4 linked regions of the Macaca mulatta genome follow. The protein of the gene in region 2 purifies or fractionates together with the protein of the main gene of each other region. This does not show direct contact. Links are inferred from orthologs where the notes say so. Each region holds a gene or a part of one and is shown on either strand. Other genes may lie near its edges.

Evidence for each region.
Region 1: the proteins of RBPJ (region 2) and FHL1 purify together in Homo sapiens (affinity purification with western blotting; 4 studies listed by BioGRID and IntAct, with this or other methods). This does not show direct contact. The link is inferred for Macaca mulatta from reciprocal best matches to the Homo sapiens genes RBPJ and FHL1.
Region 3: the proteins of RBPJ (region 2) and RITA1 purify together in Homo sapiens (affinity purification with mass spectrometry; 4 studies listed by BioGRID and IntAct, with this or other methods). This does not show direct contact. The link is inferred for Macaca mulatta from reciprocal best matches to the Homo sapiens genes RBPJ and RITA1.
Region 4: the proteins of RBPJ (region 2) and NOTCH2 purify together in Homo sapiens (affinity purification with mass spectrometry; 3 studies listed by BioGRID and IntAct, counting the BioPlex papers as one, with this or other methods). This does not show direct contact. The link is inferred for Macaca mulatta from reciprocal best matches to the Homo sapiens genes RBPJ and NOTCH2.

The regions. Positions count from the first base shown.
Region 1 is NC_133426.1:142,534,965-142,537,680, forward strand, and holds part of FHL1 (four and a half LIM domains protein 1), read left to right. Parts: coding exon 1-132; intron 133-566; coding exon 567-764; intron 765-1,293; coding exon 1,294-1,512; intron 1,513-2,007; coding exon 2,008-2,194; intron 2,195-2,716.
Region 2 is NC_133410.1:25,359,663-25,363,772, forward strand, and holds the start of RBPJ (recombining binding protein suppressor of hairless), read left to right. Parts: upstream 1-1,310; 5' UTR 1,311-1,424; coding exon of another isoform or gene 1,425-1,444; intron 1,445-4,110. UniProt on the Homo sapiens protein: Transcriptional regulator that plays a central role in Notch signaling, a signaling pathway involved in cell-cell communication that regulates a broad spectrum of cell-fate determinations.
Region 3 is NC_133416.1:120,434,792-120,437,074, forward strand, and holds the end of RITA1 (RBPJ-interacting and tubulin-associated protein 1), read left to right. Parts: intron 1-733; coding exon 734-1,241; 3' UTR 1,242-1,783; downstream 1,784-2,283. UniProt on the Homo sapiens protein: Tubulin-binding protein that acts as a negative regulator of Notch signaling pathway.
Region 4 is NC_133406.1:120,363,114-120,366,613, forward strand, and holds part of NOTCH2 (neurogenic locus notch homolog protein 2), read left to right. Parts: intron 1-342; coding exon 343-455; intron 456-1,153; coding exon 1,154-1,659; intron 1,660-2,995; coding exon 2,996-3,343; intron 3,344-3,500. UniProt on the Homo sapiens protein: Functions as a receptor for membrane-bound ligands Jagged-1 (JAG1), Jagged-2 (JAG2) and Delta-1 (DLL1) to regulate cell-fate determination.

The DNA.
Region 1 (2,716 bases), on a different chromosome or scaffold from region 2:
TACTGCAGGGACCCCTTGCAGGGGAAGAAGTATGTGCAAAAGGATGGCCACCACTGCTGCCTGAAATGCTTTGACAAGTTCTGTGCCAACACCTGTGTGGAATGCCGCAAGCCCATCGGTGCGGACTCCAAGGTAATGGGCATCCCCACGTGCCAGTGGGAAGGGCTGGGCTTCAGAGTGTCCTTTACCCACAATCATGGCAGCAGCAGCTGGCCGTTAGGATTTCCCAGCATCACTGCAGCCACCTTGAGGCCTCAAGGAAGCCTCCTCCACTCCCCAGGCCACAGTGGCCCAAGCTGTTTAATGTGGGGCTTGACTGGATGGGTGACAAGGCCATTGCCAGCTCTTCTGATTGCATTCTAAATATTTCAAGAATTGTGAGATTTTTATCCTCATCTCAGCATCCCTCCTATCACTCATAAGAACAGTCACTGTGGGGCAGTCCCTAGGTGTAAGGGACTGTGTCATCTCGGTGGTCAGTCCCAGGGAAATCAGCCTTATGGGAGGGCTCCTGCTGCCACCCCCAGCGCCCCTCATGTGGCCCACCCTGTCTGCTTGGTTTCCAGGAGGTGCACTATAAGAACCGCTTCTGGCACGACACCTGCTTCCGCTGTGCCAAGTGCCTTCACCCCTTGGCCAATGAGACCTTTGTGGCCAAGGACAACAAGATCCTGTGCAACAAGTGCACCACTCGGGAGGACTCCCCCAAGTGCAAGGGGTGCTTCAAGGCCATTGTGGCAGGTACTGCCTCCTTCCCACCCCGGGTTCCCAGGGAGGAGGCCCTGAGGGCAGACGTGATGTGGGCTTGCTTAACACGGTGGGGCTAACGTTGCTCTGAGCTGCTTTGAGATATTAGCATATATATGTACACATATACATACACGTATATATGCGTACACATATATGCTCGCACACACGCACACACTCGGAGACTAAAGAACACTGGCGAGAACAGCCTGTGGCAAGAGAATGAAGTGAACAGTATGTAGCGCTTTCTCATTTGGGCGTAGTAAGTGATGAAAGCATGCTTCTTCCTCAGGGTGTCATTCTGGGCCATGTAGTCCCTGATTTAATGTCTAAGTGCACGCAGGGTATAGAGGTGGGGGAGTGGGGCATTCAGGCACCGGATCCTAAAACAATAATGCTGGGGTCCCCACCCATGACAGAAATCCTGGGTTGGCACAAGCATAAGTAGAACACAGGTAGGTTAGTTGGAGGTGTGAGGCCAGTAACTGCAGGGCCTGCATCCCCTCACCTCTGGAGGGCCTGGGGAGGGGAGCTGAGTGGATGCAGCCCCCTGCAGAGCCTGTCAGTGGGGCTATCCAATTGCTTCCCCCTGCAGGAGATCAAAACGTGGAGTACAAGGGGACCGTCTGGCACAAAGACTGCTTCACCTGTAGTAACTGCAAGCAAGTCATCGGGACTGGAAGCTTCTTCCCTAAAGGGGAGGACTTCTACTGCGTGACTTGCCATGAGACCAAGTTTGCCAAGCATTGCGTGAAGTGCAACAAGGTATGCTTTCAAGGGAGTTCTGCATTGACCGTTGTTTCTAGAAGTGTTTGACAGTTTGCAGAGCACTTCCACACACACTATCCCATTCCATCCTCATGACAGCCCTGTGACGTAGGAATTATTATTCCCGTTTTACAGATGAGGAGATCGTGGATTAGGAAGCAGTGCCGAAGCCAAGTCTTGGGCTGTCGGTATGCATCCTCAGCCCGGTGGTGTGGGTAGCCCGTACGGCATGCTAAGCTGGGCAGCCCTGGCTCCAGAGGCCTGCCTCCACCACTAAGGGGTTGTGTAACCTCACATAGGGGCTCACTTTCTCCGAGCCTTGGTGTCTTCATCTGTAAAGTGGGGATAATAATAGCCCCTGCCTCCCATGGCTGTTGTGGAGATTAAATGAGATATTGTATACCAAAGCGCCCAGCACAGTGCCTGGCACGCAGTAGGCATTCAACAAAATGGTTGTTGAATCTGAATCCGGTGCTACACTCCCTGGTCTAGGCCATCACATCTGGAGGAATCACTTACCAGGATCAGCCCTGGCATGCCGATTGCTTTGTGTGTGTTACCTGCTCTAAGAAGCTGGCTGGGCAGCGTTTCACCGCTGTGGAGGACCAGTATTACTGCGTGGATTGCTACAAGAACTTTGTGGCCAAGAAGTGTGCTGGATGCAAGAACCCCATCACTGGTAGGCTAAAGAGTCCTTGCTAAGTCTGCCAGGCTAGGTTTTGCGCATGGTAACCATCTCTCATTTTCCTGTCGTCGGTTTCATCCACAAAGGCCCCCAGAGTATGCCCTTCTCCCCTGCTATTGTGGTCCCAAAGGCCCCCCAAGAGTTTGGATTCGTCCCCAGGCCAGGTTAGCCTTTGCAATACACAACACTTCCTGACTGTTGACTAACAATGCCGGAAGTTCACAAGCCTGACACCTGCCGGCCAACACCGGCAGGCACTGCCACTTTGCAGGGGGATTCTGCAGGGAGGGGTGGGAGGAGGGTAGAAAGAAGGGGGGTGGGGGAGGTGGGGAAGGGAAAGGGGGAAGGGAGGCCGAAGAGTGATAATCTGGGATTGTCATACCCCATATTTGAAGGCTAGTTCAGAGATGCCTGTTGGCAGGGTTTCTTTTTTTTTGTTTTGTTTTTTGGTTTGCTGTTTATTTGTTTTTGCGATCAGCAAAGCTAATCACTTCATTCCTCATCTCGCGGCCGCGA
Region 2 (4,110 bases):
GGGGCACGTTCTCGCGAGGTTTAGGAAATTTCCCACGGCCGTGTTGTGTCTGAGCCGAGTAGTGGAAGGCGGTGGGAAGGAGGTGTAGCGTGAGACGCGACTGCCCGCATTGGGTGCATGCGCAGTGCCGCTCGCGCGGGCCGCGCCAATCCTGCAGCGCCTTCAGCAGGTTTCGGGCGGCGAATTCCAGTTCTCCGGGTTTTGGGGCTCCCTGCGGGAGGCAGTGCTGGATTGGGAATCTCTAGGAAAGGAAAGGGCAAAGGAGGGGAAAAATGGGGGGCTGCAGGTAGGAGGAGGGGGCGGGGTTCGGGCTCTGCACCTTGCTGTTCAATGCCCGGCGGGGCCAGGTTCGCCCGGGGGCTTCCGGCATCAGGCCGCCTGAAGCGCGATTCGGGCAGCCGGCAGCGTCTTCGGCTGTGCCAGGCCCTCGGGTGGCCCGGTTCCCTGTGCAGTAGTGGCCTCAACACACACCTGGGCTCACACACGGTGGCGGCTGCGATGGGGTCTTAGAGAGGCCATGTGGCACGCGAGCTGCAAGAGCTTTGATCAGGGCCTCTGGCCCGACTCGGAGGTGGGAGAATGTGGCTCTCAATTCCAAGGCAGTTTTCCCTTCTGGAGAGAACTACTCCGCACCCTGGCGTGTGTCTGCGAGGTGGCCATTAGGGGTGTCTTTCCCAGAGGCCTTGACTTGACCTCATTTCACACCTAAGGAGAACGCTAAGCCGAGAGAGCTCAACTGCAAAAGTTTTCCGTTTGCGGAGCTCTGGAAGGGCCTCCTCATTAGCATGGGGGTGTAATGAATGAAGACAGTTCCCGACGTGTCACTTGCCCGAACCCCAGGCACCTCTGACGCTCCTGCACCTAACGCCGAAATTAGCATAAAGGAGGCGCCCAGGGAACGTCTGAATGAATGAAAGGAGCTGGGAACCCAGAGTGAGCGGGAAGCCGCTTGGAAAACACCCATTGAGGAGGTGTTTCATCTAGGCCTGTGAAACGCGGCCCATTTTCCCAGGACCCCTCCTCCCTTCTCCTCGGCCCCGCCTCCTGACCCCTCCATTCCCCGTCCCCGTAGTAATCCCCTCCGGTTTTCCTCAGTCTCCACGTACGTCCCTCAAGGCGCGTCCCAAAACCTGGATAACCGGAGCGCTCCCCATGGACCACACGGAGGGCTCGCCCGCGGAGGAGCCGCCTGCGCATGCTCCATCGCTTGGGTAGGTTTCCAAGGGAGGCAGCGAGCAGGATCCCCTACTCTGCGGGCGGCGCGAGGCGTCTGGCTCTTCGCGGCGGCGGCGAGGGGAAAGGGAGCGCGGGGGCTGGGTGGAATCGAGGAGTGAGGAAAAAGGGAAGGGGCGGGGGAGAGGGACCAGGGAAGGCGTCGGGGGGAATCTCGCGAGGGTTGGAGTTTTGGCGAGAGTTTGTGGAAGATGGCGCCTGTTGTGACAGGGTAAGTCCGAGGGAATCGGAGCGCTGGGAACCGGGAAAGTTGCGGGCGTCTGGCAGCCCGCGGCGAGCGGCGGATTCGGGGGCCGCAGCGCGCTTGGCGTCCGGGGGCCCGCGGGGGCGGCGTCGCGTGCGCCGAGCGCGGCGGCGGCTGCGGCGTGTGACCGTGCGCTGCCTCTGCGCTGCCGTGGCTCGGGCTCCGGCGCGTGAGGGCGGGAGGCGGCGGCGAGGCCGGCGGGTGCGGGCGTGAGTGCGGCCGGGCGCGCGGGGCCCTCGGGCGCCGTGCCTCCCGCGCGCCTCCAGCGGGCCCTGCCTGGGGGCCCCGTGCAGCTTTGTTCCTCGCGGCCGTTGTCGCCGCCTCGCCCCGCTAGTGCCCCCGGCCCCGGGCGCTTTGTCTTTCCCCGCTGCCCCCCGCGACTCTCTACCCCCGGCCCTTTGTTTCGCCGCCTTGGGCGCTTTGTCCGACCCGTGGCGCCCCGCATCCTCTTTCCATCTCCTCCCCTCCGCTGTCCTTCCTCCCGTGCCCCTTTGTTGTGCCCCACTCTTGTCGGTAGCCCAGTGACCTGCCACAGCCCGGGCACCAGATTCCTGTCTTAATTGTTCTTCCATTGTCTTTCTCCTGTGGGTCCTCTCTCACCTTTCTCTGCGGTCCTGGATCCCCCCCCCCCGAGGCGTTGTCTCCCCCATCCATGGGCTTATTCTCTCGGCACCCCCTTCCTCTCCCGTCATCGGTTGATTTATCCACTACCCCCGGTGTACGTCTGCTGAACTGTCTCAGCCCCGGAGACTCCATCTGCTGCTTCTAAGTGCACACAGACTCTACGGTTTGTTGTTGTTTTGTGAGTCTGAAAGATGCATGGGATACTTAGTTTCCTCCTCCGCACCCCTTTTTCTCGGGATTTCTTGCACCCCCCGCCCCCCCATCGCCACCCCTTTCTTTCGGGATTAAAGCGTCTCCAATTTTCATCGCCGTCTCTTTAGTGCGGTGGGTTGTTTTGCTTGGAAACAGTAGCCCTGGAAAAAGGTCTGGTCTCTTGGTGGTTCTTGCGTCCCCCGGCCCCCGGCCCCCGCCCCCCTCCTGGTTCCTGACGGCCTAGGCCAAGGGCAGCTGTCTGTCGAAGCTTTGCATTTAGGTTGCCTGAGGATGATTGGAGGGTATCGTAGGACGGTTAGAAGGAGGCTCAAGATGTATATATGTGTTTTTCTGTTAGTGTTTGAGAATAGTTTCAGATATCCACAATGGATATTCATTTGGCATGTGAGTAGGAGTTGAGTGAATTTCCATGTTGAAAACTTGTGAGTGTTGGGGCGGAGAATTTCAGCATTTTCTAGAAATCTGGATTTAGAATTTATCAGAAACTCCTGCCTCATAAGGAAAAGGAGAGGCATTCCGGTTGGGAATTTTATATAAATGTTTTACTTTTTCTTAATCATTAGATGGTTTACAGTTATGTGCGTTTTTGCTGCTCTGTGGATGCGTGACAACCCTTCTGTCCCATCACTGGGGTTGAAATGAGGACAGCACCGAAGAGTGCAGTTTCTGATTGATGAATACTGCTTCTAGGATCTTTGTGGAAGATATTAATCAAATGCAGTAAAAAGTATACGTAAAGATGTATATTATATATATGTAATAGCCTGTAGTGAGATTATTTTAAAGACACTTCCTAGTGTTAAAGGACCCTTGAAGTGTTCTTACTGTTTTGGTAATGCTAAAAGCTTGGGGTTGTGTGAATGGGGATGGGGGGTGTGGTGTGATGTCTTTTAATGAGTTATTCTCGTGCTAGGAATAAGAGTTATTATATTTACCAGGATTACTATGCTGAATGTATTCTTCAAGAGTGAGTTTGTTTCTACTAGTTGGTCTCTACTTTTAGAAGGTATGTTACACATAAAATCATTTGGAGTGTCATTTCATTTACAAACTGAAGTTCTACAATAGTAAAGTGTTGTTTATAGAGGACATATGAGATCTACTCTAACGAGTATTGGAGCATTGGAAAGTATTTTTTTTTTCTGGCTGTGATTAGAATTAGTAGTTTGAGTTTTAATTAATGGAAAACCATGGTTTCATGATTGATACTTAAGTTTTTTTTTGTGAAAATCTGCAGTCTGGGTCGCATGAGTGGGTTTTACCAATAATCTTATGTCTCCCTTACTTGTTCTTGTACATAATGATTCTTTTGAAGGTAAAATCTTAAGCTCACTGGTTTTCTGACTGGGAGCAAAGTGTAAATACTGTGTAATAATGGAGGGTATTTTGCTCTGACTTGTACCTGTAGAATGATTACACAGACATGATAAAAGCGCTTTTACCATTTGAGTTGCGTTTTTCTTTCTAAATCGTGTAAGACTTTTACTTTGTGGTGAAATAAAACTGCTTTTAATTAAATTATAACAGCAGCATATTTCGAAATCTGGATGAGTTGTGGCTGGAGAACTTTCATTCTGAGTATTAACTATTAAAACTTTAAGTTTTATTATCCATGCATATTGCTGATGGATCTGTGATTATATTTTCAGAAAATGAGACTTGCAGTATTTTCACATCTGTACTGTTCAAAACACTTGTAGGCTTTAGATTTTAAGCAGTTAGATTTGTTAAAAAAATTACCTATTGTCCTATACCAACGGATTTCTGTCAATTTTTTTTTTTAAGTGGGTAAGATC
Region 3 (2,283 bases), on a different chromosome or scaffold from region 2:
GATTGCCGTGATCTGTGATTGTGCCACTACACTCCACTTGAACGACAGAGTGAGACCATGTCTCACAAAAAAAAAGAAAAAGTGGAGGCTCTAAAGACTAAGGTTATACTAATTGTGACTCTCGATTGCAAGTGACAGAAAACTTATTCAAACTGGCTTTCCCAGGAGAAGGCATTTGGGGCTCCTGTAAGAGGGGCTCAAACTGTGGCTGGAACTGTCTGTCTCCACCTTAGTGCTACTTTTCCCTGCATGCCGTTCAATCTCCAGTAGGAAGGAGATGGCCACAAACTGCTTTGGGCTGACATCCTATCAGCTTAGCAAGAAGTAAAGTCAGGTGGCAGAAAAACATCTCTTTCCTAGTAGTTTCTGCAAATGTCCTAAGGCAGATTCTGATTGGAGAGGCTTGGGTCATCTGGCCATTCCTGAACCAATCCATGTGGCCAGGAGGATGGAATATGCAAATTGTCCAGGCCTGGGGCACATGCCTGGGAATTGGGTCAGGATGCAGGGGCAGTGGATGTTTCGCAAGGTAAAATCAGTGGAGACCAGGGACAGTGGTGCCACAGAAGGCTATGGCCTCGCTATAGGTTTCAGACTGGGAGACAGGGACTCCTGGGATCTGCAGGGAACCCTCCTCTGCTGCTGCCAGTGCCTGGGGATGGGTGGGAGAGCTGTTAAAGTTTTGAGGGGTTGTTCATCCCCCCGCTCATGGCGTTTATCTTCCCTTTGCCAGACTGATCAGCCACACCCCGTCTTACTGTGATGAGTCGCTGTTTGGCTCCCGATCTGAGGGCGCCAGCTTCGGGGCCCCACGGATGGCGAAGGGGGATGCCGCAAAGCTCCGTGCTCTCTTCTGGACACCACCAGCTACCCCCAGGGGTAGCCACTCGCCCCGCCCCAGGGAGGCCCCACTGCGAGCCATTCACCCAGCTGGTCCCTCCAAGACAGAGCCGGGGGCGGCGGCAGACTCCCAGAAGTTATCCATGGATGGGTTACACTCTTCATGCCCCCTGAGGCGGGGACTTTCCCATTCCCTCACCCACCTGAATGTCCCCAGCACTGGTCATCCAGCCACCAGTGCCTCCCACACAAATGGGCCTCAGGATCTCAGGCCTTCCACATCAGGGGTGACCTTCCGGAGCCCCCTGGTGACTTCCAGGGCTCGCTCAGTTAGCATTTCAGTGCCAGCTACCCCACGACGAGTTGGGGCCACCCAGAAAGCAAAGCCCCCTTGGAAATGATACTCTTTCATCAGGGTTGCCTATGGGGCCACAGCGAGAGGTGTAGCCCCTTGCCAGGGTAGGAGGACATTCATCACCCAGGGAACCCCAGGTATGAAGCCCCTGTGGGGGCAGACAGACATAGCAGGGGTGGGCAGTGCCTCCCTTTATCCTGACAATCTCTAGTCGATTCCTGCCTTTTTCTCCCGATTGCGGATGTGGGGGCCACCTCTAAGATGCCGTCTCCAGCCCTGTCTCAACCACACTCCAAATTAGTGCCAACCTAGGGGCCTGGCACCTCCCACATCATCCATTTTCTTGCTGCCAAGTGCAAATAAATGGTGTAATTGCCAACCTGGAGGGTCCCCTCTCCTTCAAGCCAAGCTTCCTGCTCAGGATTAGTTTCCAACTGAGTCTGCAAGCCCTAGAGGAGTTTTCCCAGACTCTGTGTGAAGCCTGGAGAACACAAGGGCAGCTGCGAGATTTTTGAGTGAACATTGTTTCATCTTAATATGCTTCTGTATTTATTTTCATGTACTAAATATATCAGCTTATCAAAGCCATGAATGTTCCTTTTTTTTCCCCCTTAGGGTAAAGGCCATTGTTAAGCCTGAGTTGATTTAAATAACAAAGTTAAATACAACAGGTAGTACAAGGATGTGGCAGACAACATGACAGTGGTGAGTGGGTGACTGAAGTTTGGGAACCCGGGGCCTCAGGAATTGCTGGACTCTTCCTCCCATAGGCTTCTGGCTAATGCTACTAACTTGTGGTTGGCCAGCTCTTCCTGAGCTCAGAATACAGACAATAGTATTTTTTTAGTTTTGTTTTTAAGTTTGTATGTGTGTGTGTTTGTTAAGGTGGGAAATAAAACAATGGCTAGGACTATGCCAAGTGGAGGGTCCAAGAAAGCCAGACAGTGACACGTGTGTCTGCAGAGCACTTAGAATGCAGCCCAGGGCTTAGGAAAAGCAGCAAAGCCTTTGCACAGATGGAATTGCACCTGGATTGGGCAGTGTGGGCTGGGCTCTGGGCCTCTCCTTGCCCCCATCTTCCTGTAAGG
Region 4 (3,500 bases), on a different chromosome or scaffold from region 2:
TTCCTGCAATTTATGAAAGCTAAAGTGACTTCAAGAAGCTGAAGTGTGATTTCTCTTTTTTTGGTGGGATTTAAGTCACTTTTCTCACCCATACTGTCGTGTGAGTTGGTACTTATTGTGGAGGCAAGACAGAGTAAGGGACTGGCCTGTGCCAGTGACAGGCCAATCATGCTGAGATACAGTGAGTGTTTTCTTCCTATGCTCAGATTACCACAGGCTTAGAACTGAACTCTCTCACACTTGCTCCACCTATGGCTAGTTCCCATTCCAGCAAAGTTTGTTCAGTAACTTGTAGTGACTACTTCTGCCTTTTAAAGCTTTTTTTATTTTTTATTTTCTGAGGCCGGCACTGTGAAACCTTCGTCGATGTGTGTCCCCAGATGCCCTGCCTGAATGGAGGGACTTGTGCTGTGGCCAGTAACATGCCTGATGGTTTCATTTGCCGTTGTCCCCCGGTAAGTGCCCTGTTGCTCATCTAAGAAGGGGCATTGTCTCTTCCATACAATCTGTGACAGAACTGAGATTAAACCTGGTTTAATCAGTCTTCCAAATGGGAAGATTTCTCAGTTCTGCTCTTTCACAAGAAAGTACTTGGGTTCTTCCATTTAAAGCTGTTTACAAGCGACAAAACAAAACAAAAACAAAAGTAAATAAAAGCTGTTTAGATACTCCCAGAAACAGTGAGCTTTCCAATCCATGACTGTCAGTCTTAAGAAAAACTAAGGGAAAACCATAAAAAGTGGTGGAATGCCCCCTTGAAAATAGGGCTGATGTATGTGGCTTCTTGGCCCCATGCTGGAGGGTAATCTCACTGCCCAGGTTGGGCCAGAGTTGGTGGAAATGCTGCTCTGCTTGCATTCTTTAGCAGGAACCATTTGAAAGCAAGTTGTCTCTTAAAGTAGAGGGAAGCTTAATTTTAGCTCTTTGCTATACCCATTCTTTTATTACTGCCAGAGGCTGAAACCTTCCCAAAACAAGAGATCCCTATGCCTCGGGAGATACCAAAAGGAAACCTGTCTAGTAACCTTGGCTTGGGCTGAACAGGAAGTACAGAAGGGAGTAGTGAGATGTGGAGGTTTTCTAGAAACCCAAAACTTCCAATATGACTGTTTTCCTACCAATGCCATTTTTATTTCCTCACTGATTTCCACAGGGATTTTCCGGGGCAAGGTGCCAGAGCAGCTGTGGACAAGTGAAATGTAGGAAAGGAGAGCAGTGTGTGCACACCGCCTCTGGACCCCGCTGCTTTTGCCCCAACCCCCGGGACTGCGAGTCAGGCTGTGCCAGTAGCCCCTGCCAGCACGGGGGCAGCTGCCACCCTCAGCGCCAGCCTCCTTATTACTCCTGCCAGTGTGCCCCACCATTCTGGGGTAGCCGCTGTGAACTCTACACGGCACCCCCCAGCACCCCTCCTGCCACCTGTTTGAGCCAATATTGTGCCGACAAAGCTCGTGATGGCGTCTGTGATGAGGCCTGCAACAGCCATGCCTGCCAGTGGGATGGGGGTGACTGTTCTCTCACCATGGAGAACCCCTGGGCCAACTGCTCCTCCCCACTTCCCTGCTGGGATTATATCAACAACCAGTGTGATGAGCTGTGCAACACGGCCGAGTGCCTGTTTGACAACTTTGAATGCCAGGGGAACAGCAAGACATGCAAGTAAGGGCTTCACGTTTTCCAGAAGCTGAAGGGGACTGTCACTAACACACTTCAGTTTCTCGTTCTTGCTCCTAACCACTCCAGTGCTTCAGCCTAAGCTGCCTCTGCTTTTCAGATGGTGCCAGCCTTGTCCCATCGCACACTACCCTGTGCTCTCCCTTGCTGACAAAGGGCCAGGAATGCTCATTGCATAATGACCCTCTCTCTCTGCCTATCTCTGCCTTCTCACCTGCTGCCTTCGTGACCTCCTGGGGGATATAACTTTTGGAAGTGGTGTTTCCCACTTCAAGCAGCCTCTCACATAACCTGCCTGCAGGATGGATGGAAAGGTCTGTATCTCTCTCTTCACCCCATTCCTTTCCCTAAGACTGTTTTTCCCCACCCAGGTTTATCAGGAAGCATGAATTAGATTAGGCCTGTGAACCCTCCTTAATTGTTATAGTTGTAGGATGCTGTATGGTTTACTTAGGAACTTTCCTATTAATTAGCCATTCCATCTAATTTAATCCAAGTTAATTCTCAACAACCCATGAGGCATAGGTATTATTAACATTCTTTCATAGGTGAGAGAACTTAGGCCCAAGGGTTAAAGAACTTGCCAGAGCAAGTTGTTTCATTGACTCCTAATCTTTTGATTGAGATAGCATGAAAAGTTGTACCAAGTAGTATAAATATCAAGGGGTAGGGTATGAGGAGAGGAGAGTGTAGATGAAATAGTTTGTACATCATTTAGGTTTGGGGGTTCTAATTCCTTTTGCAAATATTGAAAGAGCCTGTACAAGTAAGGTCTGGTGTGCTACAAGGACATACCCATCCCCCTTTACCTTCTGTAGCTGGGATTCGCTCTTGAAAGGGAAAGAAATGGGTCATGTTAATATGGTTCTCTATGGCAACTCTCAATGGTTCAGGGTCATTTATCAAGTTTCTAGAGGCATCTTTCACTTCCTAAAGCCCGTTGTTACCTTATTGGGGACAATGGATACAAAGTAGAGGAAGCATGAACCAGGCTGACTTTTGTTTCAGATATGCAGCTTTGTTTGAAAACCTGACTTAACAGGATTGTAAACTGCCTGGGAGTCCCTAAGCTCCTGCAGCGTAGTGAGTACAATGTTCTTCATTTAGGAAGTACACAACAAGGATGAGTGGCGTAGACTATACATACTCTATGACATCAGGGATAGGAGATGCAAAGAAGGTTTTGTGGGGCATTTGGGTCCTGGGTGTGGGCCACAGAAAATGGGTAGGAAAATCCACAGTTAGTTCCAAATGAAAAAGCAAATAGAGCTCCAGTCTAATCTGAGCCCCTTTCTCCTGTTCTCTGCTTCCCCTTACCTAGGTATGACAAATACTGTGCAGACCACTTCAAAGACAACCACTGTGACCAGGGGTGCAACAGTGAGGAGTGTGGTTGGGATGGGCTGGACTGTGCTGCTGACCAGCCTGAGAACCTGGCAGAGGGTACCCTGGTTATTGTGGTATTGATGCCACCTGAACAGCTGCTCCAGGATGCTCGCAGCTTCTTGCGGGCACTGGGGACCCTGCTCCACACCAACCTGCGCATTAAGCGGGACTCCCAGGGGGAGCTCATGGTGTACCCCTATTATGGTGAGAAGTCAGCTGCCATGAAGAAACAGAGGATGACACGCAGGTCCATTCCTGGTGAACAAGAGCAGGAGGTGGCTGGGTAAGTGTTTGGTTTCTGAACTTCAAGGCTAATTTTATGAAGCCTAGCACTTTGATATGTAGCACATGTCATAACTCAACCTATAGAAATGCAAATATCAGACAAATAGAATGGCCCACCACTTAAGATAAACCCATTACCCCAGTACTTATGTTTA